2 linked regions of the Astyanax mexicanus genome follow. The protein of the gene in region 1 interacts with the protein of each later gene in a pairwise test. Links are inferred from orthologs where the notes say so. Each region holds a gene or a part of one and is shown in the gene's direction. Other genes may lie near its edges.

Region 1 (8,345 bases):
TAGAGGAAACTTTTTTTACTTTATTATAAACATCTCAGCTTGGTTGTAGGGATTTCTGAATTAGAACTTAGAATTTGCTGAGTATAAAAGAGCGTTTTCACACCTGTAGTTGTGAAAATTTCTATGGTCTGGATCAGTTGATGAGTTTGTTTATTTGGAGCGTTTCTCCCTCTGTTTGGTTTGGTTTTTTACATAGATAGATCTCTGTAAAAATGAAGGTCGCACTTCAGTTTCTGAATCAGTTTCTCTGATTTTGCTATTTATAGGTTTATGTTTGAGTAAAATGAACATTGTTGTTTTATTCTATAAACTACAGACAACATTTCTCCCAAATTCCAAAATAAAGAGCATTTATTTTAGAGCATTTATTTGCAGAAAATAAGAAATAACTAAAAATTACAAAAAAGATGCAGAGCTTTCAGACCTCAAATAATCCAAAGAAAACAAGTTCACATTCAGTTCAGAAATCAATATTTGGTGGAATAACCCTGGTTTTTAATCACAGTTTTCATGCATCTCGGCATCATGTTCTCCTCCACCAGTCTTACACACTGCTTTTGGATAACTTTATGTTTCAAACTAAAATTTAAGCAGTTCAGTTTGGTGGTTTGATGACTTGTGATCATCCATCTTCCTCTTAATTATATTCCAGAGGTTTTTGGTATAATTTGGTAAAATCAAAGAAGCTCATTATTTTTAAGTGCTCTCTTATTTTTTCGGTTACTGTGTTTCTTTTACTCTTTTTAATACCATTGATTTCAGAAGACACAAGGAATGAGCAGTCTTGTTCCCAGTACTGCCATTGTCCAATGACAGTCCCTGTTTAGGAAGTTATCAGTGTTGATATAGAGTAGCTGTACTCACCCACACTGCTGAGGATGCCGCCTGGCCTTTACCTGCGGAATAAGAAAGAGCAGCACTGTCATTACCGGACAAGCACAAATTTGGATGATGTTTATTGATTATTAAGGCCTACAGGGTTTAGCGTTTTTCCTTTGATTGCAATATATTGAGTAAGACCACACAAGCTTATTTTAGACACCAAACATAACATATCAGCTGTACACTTGCTTTTCTGGACAAGCTGAGGGACACAGAAGCAGCATATGAAATATTTTACCAGAGCCTACAGAAGAAGGCCTACACAGTGCAGTTGTGTTGAAAGGGATGGTACTTTCATTCAATTTCATGGCGCTGTATTTAGTGCAGACCTAGTTTAGTGTCTTTCCTGCTGTATCACACCTGCGCCAGCTCATCAGGAGCCTGTTAATCAGCTGAGGAGTGAGTCAGAGCAGAGAACACACCAGGCCAGGCTGTGCTCTGAACCTGTGCTGGTCCTGATTAAGAAAAACAAGCTGCTGTTTCTTCCCCTATCACGTCTCTGAGGCCAGAAAAGTGAAACTAAGAGTGATGTGAATACTGGACACGCCCATTCAGGCCATGTTAGAGATGGTGTACACAGTGTGTGTGTGCTGCCTGTGGCTGTGTACTCAAAGGGTACACCTATTAACTCACTTAGCTCCATCTAATTACACCGTAAACACACAGCATTCCTGAAGAGCGGGCACTTTAAAGCCACAGCCAGAGAGTTTTAGATGTTTTCACTTGAGATGGGAACAGTAGGCCATTAGCTCAGACATTAGATCGGTTACAGCATCAGATTTATTCTTTTTCTAATCAGTTTGAATTCACTCAATTGTAAGTTTATAATATATACCCATCTATGCCCATCCCCAACCATCCATACTAATTCATATCCATATTCATAAACAATAAAATCCATCCATATCTGTCCATACACATCCATCCTAATCCATAACCTTCCTAACAATTCATACTCATCTGTATCCATCCATATCTATACCTTTTCTAACCTGTAATCCTGTAATTCTCTAATCCAGAATAAACCACACATAGAAATACCCATCCATACATACCATTAGCCATCAATCTGTATCTATACTTAAACATTCTTATACATTCCCATTCTAATCTGTATATACCCATAATACATGCCGATACTCATCCATGCATACCCTTAGCCATTAATCTGTATCCATCCTTATACATTCCCATACCCATTCTAATCTGTATATACCCATAATACATAGCCATACCCATCTATACATACCCATTTACACCCATCCATACATAGCTACTCATACCCATCTATTCATACACATACCCATCCATACATAGCTACTCATATCCATCCATACATATCTATTCATACTCATCCCTATCCATACATCACAGTGTTTACATTGTCAGATCATTAACACACTGCCCTCTCTCGCGCTCGCGACTGCAGGCCTGACTGAATGCACTGTGTTATATAACCAGCCATTCCTTCACGGGGCTCGAGATGCAGATGGTGATGATGCCTACTGGAGCTTCCATAGAGTGCTCACTGTGCTAAACGCACAAACAACAAATGCATGCATGCACGCATTCACACATGCATGCTTGCACGCATTCACACATGCATGCATGCACGCACGTGCTGGTGCATGCACCCTGCAGAGGATGCACAGATTTTTCTGCAGCTGGTTATTGCAGTTATGTGATTATGGGATGCAGGAGATCAGTGTTTACCTGCGGGCTGAAGCCGCACTGTGCCGTTCTGGTGTATCCACACGTCCTCCGGACCCTCGATGACCCCCCGGGGGTGCAGCCCCGCGCGCCTGGGTCCCGGGCCGCCCCGCTCCGCCAGGGTCCGGCAGCACTGGTAGCACACGGCCCAGGCCTGCTCCTCATTTATGGGCTGGTTATAGAGGGTCAGTATCTCCTGCAGAGTCAGCTCCTCTCCTTCATCTTCATCCTCCTCCTCCTCCTCCTCCTCCTCGCGCACCCTGGCCTCCATCAGCTCGCGCGCAGACATCCTCTCATCCTCTCCTCATCCTCTGCTCATCCTCCGCTCGCGCTGTCCGCGTGGGTATCAGTATCTGTGGTCATTCAGAGCCCAATACTGCCCAATACTGCCCACCCGCCCCGAAAGCGCAGCTCAGCACAACACACCAATCACATGACCGCGCAGCGCAGAGAGGGGCGGGGCCTCAGCACTGAACACACAATATATATATATATATATATATATATATATATATACACGTATATATATATATATATATACGTGTATATATATATATATATATATGTATATATATATATATATATATATATATATATATATACGTATATATATATATATATATATATATATATACGTATATATATATATATATATATATATATATATATATATATATATATAACGAAAACATATTAAAAAGGTGAATATTAAAAATATTGAATATATTCTTATCACTTCATACGTATCTCTGTCAGTTATGTACTTATACTTACTTATAAAAATAGCCCCAAATATTTTTTTATTAATTAATTAATTTTATTTACTTATTTATTTTTGATGATAAGTAATGTACTATCTTGGTCACTTACTGATAGACAAAGGATATAATGTATTCCTCACTTTTGTGTTTTAGTATATTTTTTTGTTACTTTGCATTATTTTAATTTAATTTATAACATATGTATTATTATTATTTTATACAAAATATTATATGCACGTTATTATCTTGGTCAGCTCCTGCTGTTTACGAAGGCTTACAGATTTTCTGTTTGTACTAAATTTAATCTAATTATAATATATATATATATATATATATATATATATATATATATATATATATATTTTTTTTTTTTTTTTTTTACTGTAAAGCTTTAGGGATATTTTTGTATAATTTTTGATATATATTTTGTGCAAATAGTTTTATACAATAAGTTACTTGGTGAATCTTGGTAAGATTGCTTGTTTTTGTCTAATAAATATTTAAAATTGTTATGCTAAATAAAACATTTAACATTTATTTTGTTAGCATATTCTTCAAAATAAACAAATATATTGTCACTTGCCTGAAGTACTATAGTAACCACAGAGTAACACCACAGTAACCACACTTTAACAACTTTCTAACTCTATGACAACCACCCAAAATACCTAAGCGTACATGCCAGCCACCCAGGTGTCCTAGGTGGTTACCATGCAGTTGCTTGGTTATTGCTATTCTTCCTATGCTTGGAGGTGCTATGCTGTTGTTAAGCAGTTGGTATGGTATCAAATGTGGTTTCTTTGAACTTGCTTGCTGGTGTCATCCTGTTTCATCCCGATATTAAGCCAGTACTTACTTGTCCCAGGTGGTTGCTAGGTGGTTGCTAGGTAGAGTATGCTGTAGCTCAGCAGTTGCTATGGCATCCCGGGTGGTCGAGATGCTGTTGCTGCTAGGTAGTTGCTATAGTTTCCGAAGTGCTTGCTTGTTAGGGTGGTTGTGCGATATTGAAAGTGCTTTCTATGTGGTTGTTGTGGTGTTTCAGGTGGTTGCTAGTGTGTTGCTATGGTGTTGTCCCACATTGTTTTAAGGTACTACCATCACAAAAACACAAGAGGGCGATCAGTCATTGTTATGGGGAGATAATCAGTGTTAAAATATAGCCATCTCTATCTACACGGCTCTGATTAGCTGGATGTGTCCTAAATCGCACCCACGCTGCCTACTTAGGCGGTATTCGGAGGCAGGAAGGTTCAATATGTTATCCTACCCGTCTTAAATGGAAATAAAGCTTCAGAACTTAAAACTCTAATATGTAAAAGAGCGCAAGTGATCCTGTGGAAGCGTCAGTTTGGGTTTCGGAGCCCTTAATCCAGAGGCTGCTCCCTTTTTCTGAGCTCCCTTCAGTTTGGGACACCGCCGTTTACAGAGCTAGGGCGCAGCTGAGTGAGGCGCATGCGCAGAGCGCGTCTCCTCCGGCCGTTTGAAACCATGGCGGCAGATAGCGTATCAGTAACAGAGCAGTGGATCCGGGAAAAGCTCAGCCTGCAGCACCGCTGTCTGGGTAAACTTCACTTTATATATCTGTACAGACTCTACACACCTTTATTAACCGTATCACTATCTTATACGTATGTTATAAACGCTTTAAAGCGTTTAAATCGCACAGTGTTTTCAAGCTAGCACCGTTGTCGCGCAGGTAAACAGTAATTTGTAACGTTAGCTAGTTAATTTAGCTAATCTAGTTACCTTAGTTTAAAGCAGCAGTCCTTAAAGTTTTGTCTTTTAAATTGATAATAATAGTGTTTCTGAGTTTGGAAAAGGGAAAATATCCTGATAAATAGCGTCAGTGTGCTTCTGCTACTATTCCTGCCAAGCCACATACAGTATATTCATTCTAAAAACACAGTTAGTGGTCTGGTAATTAGGTCTCAACAGGAGCTTTTTCTGACTATGAAACCTTAAGCTGTTGCTGGTTACCCGATTAACTATGGTGCTGCTAATAGTGCTGATACTAGAGCTACTGCGAACATGGAGATATCAGACCAGCAAACTCACCAGCCTTTATTTGCACATTCACTCATTGTAAGCCAAATAAATGCAGAATTAGAACTAAAGAGAACAAGGGCTGTCGCGATAATTACGCTGTTGACTAGGGGTGGGCGATATGGCCCCAAAAGTAATATCACGATATTTCACGGTCTTATCACAATAACGATACTCTTGCCGATATGACAAAAACATAAAAATAAAAAATACACTACTGCAACAAAACAAAACTTACATTTTATTATTGTATACGTTATGATACAGCACACCCCTAACTGACATATAAAATAAAATACAATAATTTTATCAGATTTGTAACAGAAGTCAATGATCCAGAATGTCATGATACTAATAATAATGCACTCCAAATATCTCCATATATCCAGGATTAAAGTAAAATAAATGATACTGGACAGATATAATCTGTCTCTAGTAGATATTTAATTGTAAATGAGAAATGTGTGACTTTTTTTTTCGCTTAATCAGCAAAAAAGTAGGATAAAAAAGTGATAATTAGGGGTGAGTGTTATGGCACGATATTTCAGGGTATAATATCGTTCACGATATTCAAAAATGTTGGCGATATTATCGCGTACGATATGATATGGCACACCCCTACCGTTGACGTATCGTAACATGATGTTGATCAATATTTTGTTTATGTTTATGATAGTTTGTTTATGTTATTCAAGCTAGGGCTGGACAGTTATATATATATATATAAAAAAAAGAATTCTTCAAATATATGAACAAGTCTAAATTTTGATTTTGATTTTACAGTGGTATAAAAAAAAAGTTTGGTCACCCCTGATAATTTTCATTATTTTCCTTTATACACCATTGATTGCTCGGATTAGCAATTTTAGTTAAATATATCATATATCAGACAAAGTAAGATATAGCGAAGAAGTAAAAAAAATTAAGTTTATAGGATCTACAGAAAGTGTGCAATAATTATTTAAACAAAATTAGGCAGGTGCGTAAATTTCAGCAACCCAGCAGAAAAATCAAATCAATATTTAGTAGAGATCCTCCTTTTGCAGAAATCTAAACAGCATTTAAACTCTTCCTATAGCTTCCATTGAAAGTCTGGCCTCTTGTTGAAGGTATTTTGGATCATTCTTCTTTACAAAACATCATCTGTTCAGTCAGGTTTGATTCAGGTTTATGATCATGAACAGCTGCTTTAAATCACACCACAGATTATATTTCAATAATATTCAGATCTGGGGTCTGAGATGATCATTCCAGAACGTTGTAATTTTTGTTGCTCTGCATGAATGCTTTAGTGCTTTAGTAGATTTTGAGTAGTGTTTAGTGTTTAGGGTCGTTGTCTTGTTAAAGTATCCAGCCCCGGCGCTTCAAACTTCAACTTTCTCACTGATTCTTGTTCTCAAGACTCTGCTGATATTGACTGAAATCCATGCGACCCTCAACTTTAACAAGATTCCCGGTACCTGCACTGGTCCCACAGCCCCAAAGCATGATGGAACTGGCACTAATTTTACTGTGGGGAGCAGTAAAGTGATTGTGTTGGAATACTGTGTACTTTTTCCTCTGTGCATATAAATAACCACCCTCCAAATAACCCTGAAATTTTAGTTTCATCAGTCCACAGAACCTTATTCCAAATGTGCTTTAGCTTTAGCATACCTGAAGCGACTCTGTTTGTGGCGTGTGCTCAGAAAAGGCTTCTTCTACATTAATTTTCTCCCATACAGCCTCTCCTTGTTTAAACGATGCACAGTGACTCCATCTGCAGTAAGATGATGATGATGTCTTTGGAGCTCTGGAGGTCTGTTTGTTGACTATGACTGTTCTCACCATCCTTCTCCTCTGATTATCTGAGATCTTTCTTGTTCTGCAGCTTCAGTTCTTAACTAGACCTGTGCCTGTGGTTCTTCCATTTCCTCACTATGTTCCTCACAATGGAAAATGTAGCTGACAGTACGGACTGTGACTTTCGCGACCTAAAGCATAGTCAGGCTCTTGATTGATTGATTATCTATAGTTAATTTATCAGTTTCTGTTTGAACCCACAGCGGATGTCCGATCACTGAGCCTCCCTGGATCTGGATATGAAACGGGGAAGATCTGTCATCTGGGAATCTCTCTGAAGAATTTTGTCCGTCTGAAAAGTCTGGATCTCTCTTACAATGTACTGGATTCAGTTCAGGTAAGATACACACTAGGGGTGGGTGATATGGCCCTAAAATAATATCACAATATTTCATGTTTTTTTTTTCGTGATAACGATACGACAATATGATATGACATAACATGATATGACAATAACGATATGACAAAACACTGAGTTAAATAAAAAATATTTCCAGAATACACTACTGCAACAAAATGAATATTAAATGTTATTATTGCATATGATATGATATGGCAAACCCCTAATAATGAGATATTAAAAAAATACAAGGATTGTATCAGAATTGTAACAGAAGTCAGAATCCAGATGATACTACTGATATAATCTGTCTCTAGTAGATATATCATGGGAAATGAGTGTGATTTTTTGATGACACATCACAATATACAGTTTGATCAATCAATTAATCAATCAATCTATCAATAATACCACCCCACCCCTTGATGACATCCAACCATCTATATCTCACCACTGCTATCAGAGGCACACTACTCAGTCCAATCAGCTCTCCCTCCTGGCCCGCCCCTAAACCCATACATCACCCAGTGCCCCTCCCAAGCTAGTCTAGACTTTTTTAAATTTGAGCTCTACCTCTTTACAACTTTACAACTGATGCTCTTAAACATATTATGAGACAAGAAATTCAAGTAATTAACTCTTGATGAGTTCAGCACAGCTGTTAACTGAAAACCTGAATTCCAGGAGACTCTACCACATAAAACTGACTGAGAAAATCCAGCAGAGATGTGCTAAACTGTCTAATCTAAGCAAGAGATGCTACTTTG
Region 2 (8,497 bases), on another chromosome or scaffold:
TGATTTTTTCCCCTGTACTTTAAAATTATAACATTGTGTTGACTTCAGAACCCCAAAATTCAATCTTGTGCACAAAATTCTTGTTTTTTTGTTGTTGTTTTTTTTTTTTTCTTTGGAAAATCAGATATATGTTGTACACTCATTCCATGCCAGAGAAAGAACAGCGCAAAAAGATAACTGATATACATTTACTTATCATAAAACTGAGAATTTTTACAAGAAAAACTGTACCAGTTGTATTTAGTCAAAATGTTTTTTTTTTATAAATGAAACCTGAATGGGTTTCACCTAAACAGATAAATATACTGTATGTATACACACAAAACGTACTGCCAAACTGCAAAATGTCACTTAAAGAAAAAAGTGAAGTAAATATATATGTGTTTTTTATGGCACAAGCCATTTGGCAACATACAGCACTCACGTGTGTGACACCTTTTTCCATATATTGATGTAATTTCCCTTTAGAATGAGTGAGGCCAGTGAGAAGGAGGAGGAAACATATGTGAAGTGGATCAGCAGCTGCAGCCCATCAATTTACAAATGTACAAAACGTGCCTCTCACTTCTGCTTTATATTACCGCTCAAAGAAGTGAGACATGGCCAGACATCTGGTGCACTTTCATCGGATGTACAGTATTTACTCAGTAGTATTCAGGGGGTATGATCATTCCCTGATAAAAGGGAGGGAACTATGTGGAAAACATGTTTCAGCTCTCGCATGTTAGCGTTGCTCCTTGTCAGGGATATTTCTCTTATCTTGTTGTAAAGTATAATGCAGTGAGGCCACTCTAGGAGCTATTTCCTTTTTATTTCAACGTTCCTTTCATAAAAAAACACTCTTTTTTGTATATATTCCCTTTTTGGGTTCCTATCTGGCAGTATTTTATTTGGTTCTCTTTCTTTGTTCCCACCATTACTAATCATTATCATCATAATTATAATCATTAAAACACCATCATCTGCAAATTATATCAAAGTATTATGTGTGATTGTTGTAATACTAGCATAATGAAAGTGCTAAAATAGAATATATCATGGCTGCCCAATTAAAAATGTTTTTTTGCATTTGTTAATTTTCAGTTTACTTCATATTTTGAACACATAAGCAGTCCCTTACATTGTGTCAACATTTCTTTATGAATAGACTAATAAAAATTCTCCTAAACCCAAAATAAACTCTTTTAACATTGACTCTCATTGAAAGCTCTTCTGTAAATCTGCTGTTTTGGAGATACATGTTTTTCATTGGACAGTGATGATATGATATAATAATAAAAAAGAGCAACAGCAACAGCAGAACACACAACAAACAAAGCCTGCTTTTTTTCTTTATATTCCATTTTCTAACTGTAGACTGCCATCTATTGGTTATGCAATGTAGTGCTTAGGGGAAGTCCCTGCTATTTAGCCCTGTATGTTAATTTTAATTAAAAAAACACATACTTTAGAAAAATATATTACCATGAGCATAAATAATTTTAATAATGAACAAAACGTTTTAATCAAATTTCAGCCCATCCCAATAAAACGGCTGCCTGCTCAACATGTAGTAGTACCCTCCTGTTCAATGTTGAATATAAGATAGCAGGTCTCCAGATGGTCAGTCCCTATCGTGTGCTGGAACTGGGGCTGCAGGTCTTCTGGTTTCAAGCCATTCAGAAAGTGCCCACTGATCTCCTCATACAGTAAGGGCCCAACATCCTCTGCAAAAGTCAGTATATACATATCATATAATAAGATTGCTTTTTCAAAAAGAAAAAAGACATTGAGTTATCACTGAACAAATGACTAAATTACTAAATTACTAAAATTACCATATACTGTTCAAAACACAGATCATTTTCTACTAAAACTACTTATTGTACTGTACATTGTACATTATGTCAATCCAGTAATTATCATGACTTTCCTAAGCAGAGAAAATAATATTATATACAAACAAGTTATGTATTCTGAATTAAGATGTGCATACTGACCAATGTACTTATCTTTTAGAGTTCTCATGGTGACGGAAAGGCCACCAGAATCTTTCAGCTCCAGGGTATCATCTTCTGATAGGGACTGAATGGCATTTCGGGCACAGCTCACCACTTCAGCCAACTCCTCCTCCTCAGCATCCTCAAAGTCATCTGGGTATTCCATAGCATCCACATCCACATCAGGAGGAGCTGTAACACACAGTCATATACCACACAAATGTTAATAGGCATAACATGCTCTTCATTCATCCTAGGAAAGGTTTTTAACAAAGATTAAATGCATATAGTAAACTGATTGTTACATTACCAAAAACATTACCATACATTATTATCATTCTCATTTGCAGTCCATTAGACAAGGTCTTGATACGTTGTACCTAAGGTTCGCCTCTATACATTGGGAGATGCTGGGCTAGCATTGCTAACAAACACTAAACAAATTTCTTAACCCACTTAATATGTATCAAAATCATATATTTTTGACAAAACTATCGAATGTTAGGCTGAATTTCTTGGCTTCAATGTCAGAAGAGGCTGATCCGAAGTAAAGAAACCCTTAAATACAGTTTTGAAAATAATTTTTGTCAGTGTTTTTCATTTAGTTCACTGCCCTTTTTGCCAGATGGATTTAACTCACATCTGGTGACTGTAGTTTAAGTTACGTATTTATTAGCAGCGCTACACTAGAATCTTAAAGATTCTAAAGATTAGCAATATTTGCATCTACTATAAAAGCAGCCTATCATGCTCAGTTCAGCATAGTGTGTGCTGTTTCAAACTACACTTCTTATATGATTTAATTAGATTCCTGTATAAAAATACAAAATATCCAACCCAGCATTTCCTGCTAATATTCTGATATAAGCTGGTACCTGATACCTGGTATCAGACCAGTGTGACCTAGTTTACACACATCATAGTTATAATAAACCCAAAATGAAAAGCATACATTCAGACCCAACTTGACAGTGCATATCTAAGGATTTCTCATCTTCATAGCTGCGACCCTGCGACTCCTCCTCAAACGGACGCTCAGGACTGAAGGAGGCATCCTTCCTTGAAGTACCTTCAACAGATGACAAGCTCTCGTTTTCTTCAAAGTCTTCTGAATAATCAGACTCAGTTGTAGCGTGGGCCAACTCCTCCTCCACAACAAGAGCTGCCTCATCATCTCCTTTCATACTTGGTGATTCTTGCAGAGTGGGCATTTCCATATAAACAACAGTGTCCTTCCAGGATAATGTTGCATCTTCACTCTTTACAGCAGATATGTCCTCTGGAACACATACTTGTCTTGTCTGAGGCCTGGATTCAACATTAACCTTAGTCAGTTCTGTCTCTTGGTGCTCAATGAATTGGCCGAGATGTTCTTGGACATAGGGCATGCCCAGGATGCTGCTAGCACTCGGCCTGTTCTCAGGAACCAAGCAAAGCATTTTCTCAATGAGAGAGTGAAGGTCTTTTGAGTACTGATCTGGAGCTGGGCTGTATTCACCCTTTATTATCTTGTAGAACAAATTCAGCAGATTTCTAGCCCAGAAAGCTGGTTTGAGTGTGCAAAGTTCATACAGTAAGCAGCCAAGAGCCCATATGTCAGATTTGGTGCTGTATGGAATGTCCTGGCATAACTCAGGACTGAGGTAACAGGGTGTTCCTACACAGGTGGAAGCCATATCCAGTGTGTGGCTCATTATCTTAGATATTCCAAAATCTCCAAGCTTGATCATCCCCCGCTTGGTTAGGAGAATGTTGGAGGTTTTGATGTCTCTGTGGAGAATTTTTTTGGAGTGGATGTAGCTGACTGCCATGAGCACTTGCACAAACCACTTCATAGTCACGTGTTCGGAGAAGTACTCATCTGGCTTTCTTCCTTTTATCTGGTCATCCAGGGTCCCACCATCACAGTAGTCCATAGCAATGTAAATGAGCTCATTTGCTGTGTCATAAAAGGTGTCACTCCATGTCACAATGTGGGGGTGCTTGAGATTCCTCAGAATTTCAGCCTCTTGTAACACAGCCTCTTTGGTCTTTGTCTTTCGAGAGTTGTCTACCTGTATTCTTTTCACAGCATAGAGCTTATTTGTCTCTTTATGTCTCATCAGCAGGACGACTCCTGCTCCACCACTTCCAAGAGTGAGAATTTGCTCATATGTTTCCATGTTTAGTAGCTAACTGGCTATAAAAGTGTAATTTAAACTGAAAAAGTAATTAAACCACCATACTGTGTTTTTCCGTTGTGTTGGGCAGAGATTTCACACTGACTATCTGTTCTTTTCTATGAATTAATGTAGTTATATCCCATTTCCACTTTCCTGCAGCTTTCCTTCCTGCAGTCCGCTCATTATCTAACTATATAACCTAGATTTAGATTAGGTTAACCTAGCTACAGGCACCTTTTTGATAACGCTCAAAACGTCAGCTTGCTATAAAGAGACACTTGTAGTTAGCTAACTCAAACCCGTGTATTTTCACGCTATTTTCCAATAGAACATAGCTACATAGCGTTAATACGTTTAGCTATCTAAATATATTATTTGTAACGTTAAATTATCTGTTTAGTCATTTAGCTAGTTATCTGCTTTTCTTACTAATTTATCGTTAGCTGTCCAACGTCAACTGTCATCTCCGCTCGCGGTTTGTTTGGGTAGGGGTAAAGTCATCCCCCTGGCAACAACGACTTGCTTGAACAAGCTGTTTTCTGATTGGCTGAGAGGGCTCCCCTCTTCACACTGCTGTCTCTCCAACACTGCGTAGAATCTGCTATGATGAAAATAATTGAATTTTAAGTTCACAAGAATGGTTTTATGTTAACAGTTCTCATAATTTAATAGCATTACAATTTTGGCTAAACATTACAACATAATTGCAGAAATTAATATATATATATATATATATATATATATATATATATATATATATATATATATATCCCAATTAGTTAGCATTTAAAAAGTCAGTTCTTTTGGCCCGGCTCACTAAAAAGAGTCAGCTGCCAAGTGGCTCCTCAGAATTTGAGGATGTCAGTTTATTACCAAATTATGTGTAAAATAAAATACTATAGAAAAAAAACACATTATATCAAATGTTTATTATTTATATGGCTTAGTTTTTTTATATACACTGCACAAGATATATATGGAGTGCTACAAAAATAAATTATATGAACTGTTAACTAATACAAAAAAATCAAGGACCCACATACCATAAAAGGTTAATTCTGTATTTATCATTTGTTAATTAAGTGCATTTATTTTGTAAAACCCCCTACCTCCTGTTCGTGTGCTCACCATACTGTTGTAATTCTAATCGCGTTTGGCTTTAACAGAAGAAAACAAATCAGTTTATGCCTGATAAGTAAAAAAAATAGGGAGAATGGGAGAATTGGGAAAATTGTAAATAAGATTAATATTTCGGTTTATTGTTTATTTATATGTTATAATATGTGCTTTTGAGATTTTTTATCTTATATTTTAATTATTTCTATTTTATCCTAAATATCCTAAATCAACAGCGGAGGCCTACAGGGGGGATTCGAAAAAAGAACCTGGCAACATAGCTCTCCTGTGCTGTGTAGTGAGTCGTGCTGGTGTAGGGTACAAGGCTAACTGCTAGCTAGTTATCAGAAATGCCACCTAAAGGAAAGGGTGGCAAAGGTGCAAAAGGTGAGCTTTGTGGTTTAATGGCAACTTATTATTAGAAATAGATGTCGCAGCTAGTCGATTCTTTCTGAAGTGCATTTGGTTTTGTTTTGGAGCCAGCGTTAGCTAAACTAACTAACTAGCATTAGCAACACTGCCATCGTACTGTTGCTAAATATTAGCAAGCTAGCCACGACTGTAGCTAAGCTAACGTACTATGTACACGAAATAACCAGATATTTTGTTAGCTTATCTAACCTAGCTATATATCAATTTATTGGCCAGTGTATGTGAATTTGAACTGAAGTGAGCAGATTTTGTTAAAATATTGCTACCTGGCTATACTAGTAGCTGCACTTGTGCTAGCCTAGGTAGCCATGAGGTAAACTGATAACTGAGCAGATGTGAAGTTTATAAAAGTCTATGGTCTCATAATTTAATAAAGCCTTTTTTTAAACAGGAGCTGCTGCCTCCGGTAGTGGAGACACAGATAAGAAAGAGAAAGCCCAGAAAGGAGGGACTGCAGTAAAGGTAAACTACATGGTTAATTTATATGGTTTAATGTTATTAGCTGACTAGGTAGGTTAGCTAAGAGTTACACATTTTAACATGCATAGACAGACAGATAAATAGATACGTTCCTTTTAGTTTTAGGATTAAGCATAGTCATACCTTGACTATATATATATATATTTTTTTTTTTGCTTAATTCTCAATTGAAAATCTGCATTTTAAATCATGTGTAAGACTTGGACTAATCTCTGTCTGAGAAACTGTCACTTTATGTCCAAATGTTTGTGATTATCTGTTCATCTTACGTATCATCTCAAATAAAGGATTTTAATAGGCAGCTTGTCTATCCTTTGCAGCAGAAACAGTTGTTTAATATGGCTGTACTGTAAAATTGGGCATATCTCTGAATCACATCTGTTGATCAATGATGTTAATTACTTAAGAAAACACAGCCCAGTGCTTTCAGTAACCCGTGCACTAGGTATGGTGACTTTAGACTTGTGCAGATGCTTGAAAATGCCACTCCCATTCTATTTTTTCCATATATATATATATATATATATATAGATAGATAGATATATAGATAGATAGATAGATAGATAGAGAGAGAGAGAGAGAGAGAGAGAGAGAGAGAGAGAGAAAGACAGAGAGAGAGAGATGTGCACGTTCCTTACTGATGTGACATTCGTCTCATTACCTGTGGTGAATTGTTGAATATAGTTGAAATGATGCATGTCAGTGTAAAGTTTGTAAGTGTAACTTAAAATGATGTTTGTTCATTTCGCCCCAAACAGGTTCGGCATATTCTTTGTGAAAAGCATGGGAAATGCATGGAGGCAATGGAGAAACTGAAGTCTGGAGTGCGATTTAGTGAAGTGGCATCACAATACAGTGAAGACAAGGCTAGACAAGGAGTAAGCAGACACAAACTGCAGAATAGACCTTTAATCATAATTCTTGGATGTTATTCCTGCCTTTATTACACAAAAGATTTCTTAAATTAACTTAAGGATGAATTGGGTGTGCCACATTCAAAACTATGCAGTGATCAGACCCTCTAGAAATAAATGTGTAGCTCAGTACAGATATAGCACAGTTTTCTTTACACAGGGAACTGATTCTGTTTGATCATATGAAATATATTGCAATTATTATGCTGACAAACTTAAAAGCTCTTAGCATTAAACTGTTTGTGCAAGTTTGCACAAGCTTTAATTCAATAATAATTCTTATAAATAAATAAAATATAAATAAAAACATTCTGTGTGGTCTGACATGGATTTTGCAGAAAAGATCAACCTTGTTGTGCACAGTATAACTTTTCAAAATGTTTAGTACTGATTTTGGAATATTAGATTTGGTATTATATTGATTAAAGAATAATTTTCTTATTACTACAGCTGGGTATATCATTTGCAAATTGAAGGTTCAGTTATTCTTCTTGTTTACCAGTAGATGGCAGGATCCCACCTGCTTTGTTTCTTACCATTGGAAAAGGCTTTCAGACTAATTTTATTTTTTTAAAACTATTTACTGGTTCAGTTTCCCTTTCTTCTTCTATTCTGTAATTTGAATTCCATAATTACATGTTATTTGGTACCTTTACAAGTACATTAGTGCCCGGATATATTCAGTACATGGTGTTTACTTAAATACTTAGGTTAATGTGTCACTATTCTGATTGAAATGTAATTTTCTTTTTTAATGTATTGATTAGATTAAAAGACCAAATAATGTGTCCTCTGGACAGGGATCAGATTTCTGAATCTGCCTAAACTTAGCCTAAGAAAGTTTGTTTTGCATTTGGCAGGGTGACCTTGGCTGGATGACAAGAGGATCAATGGTGGGACCATTTCAGGATGCTGCGTTTGCACTACCCATCAGCACAATGGATAAACCAGTATACACAGATCCTCCCGTGAAAACAAAGTTTGGATACCACATCATCATGGTGGAAGGCAAAAAGTGACCCCTGTATTTGATGGCCAAATTAGGAAGCTTTGCTTGGTGGCTTTTTTTCCTCAGTTGCTTTGCAGTAATGTGAGCAGCAGATTATTTTGTAACACTGGCTGTATTTTTTTTAAACCGTGTAAATATCAGTTAATAAAAACTGAAAAATGTGAACTCTTAATGTGATTGTCATTCTTGGTTGTTCACAATGCAACAGTGACTTACTTGTCTAAAGGGTGTGGGGCAGTGTTGAGTCAGCAATGTGAGACCATGTGGGACTTAATGCCTTCCTTCCACTGTCATAAAAATTACAAAGACTGATCATTTCAGAGTAAGAAATGGCTTAATGTTCATGGTAAGTATTTTTTTGATCAGTCTTATCACATTTGTGTTGAATATCTGATAAGGAACAGT

The links.
Region 2: the proteins of cep72 (region 1) and pin4 interact in binary tests that used the Homo sapiens proteins (3 or more experiments, as listed by UniProt). The two-hybrid records come from large-scale screens. The link is inferred for Astyanax mexicanus from reciprocal best matches to the Homo sapiens genes CEP72 and PIN4.

Annotation. Positions count from the first base shown.
Region 1 is NC_064408.1:122,668,490-122,676,834, forward strand, and holds the start of cep72 (centrosomal protein of 72 kDa), read left to right. Parts: upstream 1-4,798; 5' UTR 4,799-4,805; coding exon 4,806-4,914; intron 4,915-7,441; coding exon 7,442-7,575; intron 7,576-8,345. Other genes in the region: spire1b (protein spire homolog 1), read right to left, coding at 865-896, 2,596-2,881. UniProt on the Homo sapiens protein: Involved in the recruitment of key centrosomal proteins to the centrosome.
Region 2 is NC_064417.1:41,568,025-41,576,521, forward strand, and holds pin4 (peptidyl-prolyl cis-trans isomerase NIMA-interacting 4), read left to right. Parts: upstream 1-5,283; 5' UTR 5,284-5,607; coding exon 5,608-5,644; intron 5,645-6,080; coding exon 6,081-6,151; intron 6,152-6,927; coding exon 6,928-7,047; intron 7,048-7,943; coding exon 7,944-8,102; 3' UTR 8,103-8,257; downstream 8,258-8,497. Other genes in the region: nek12 (NIMA-related kinase 12), read right to left, coding at 1,543-1,706, 1,980-2,171, 2,932-4,141.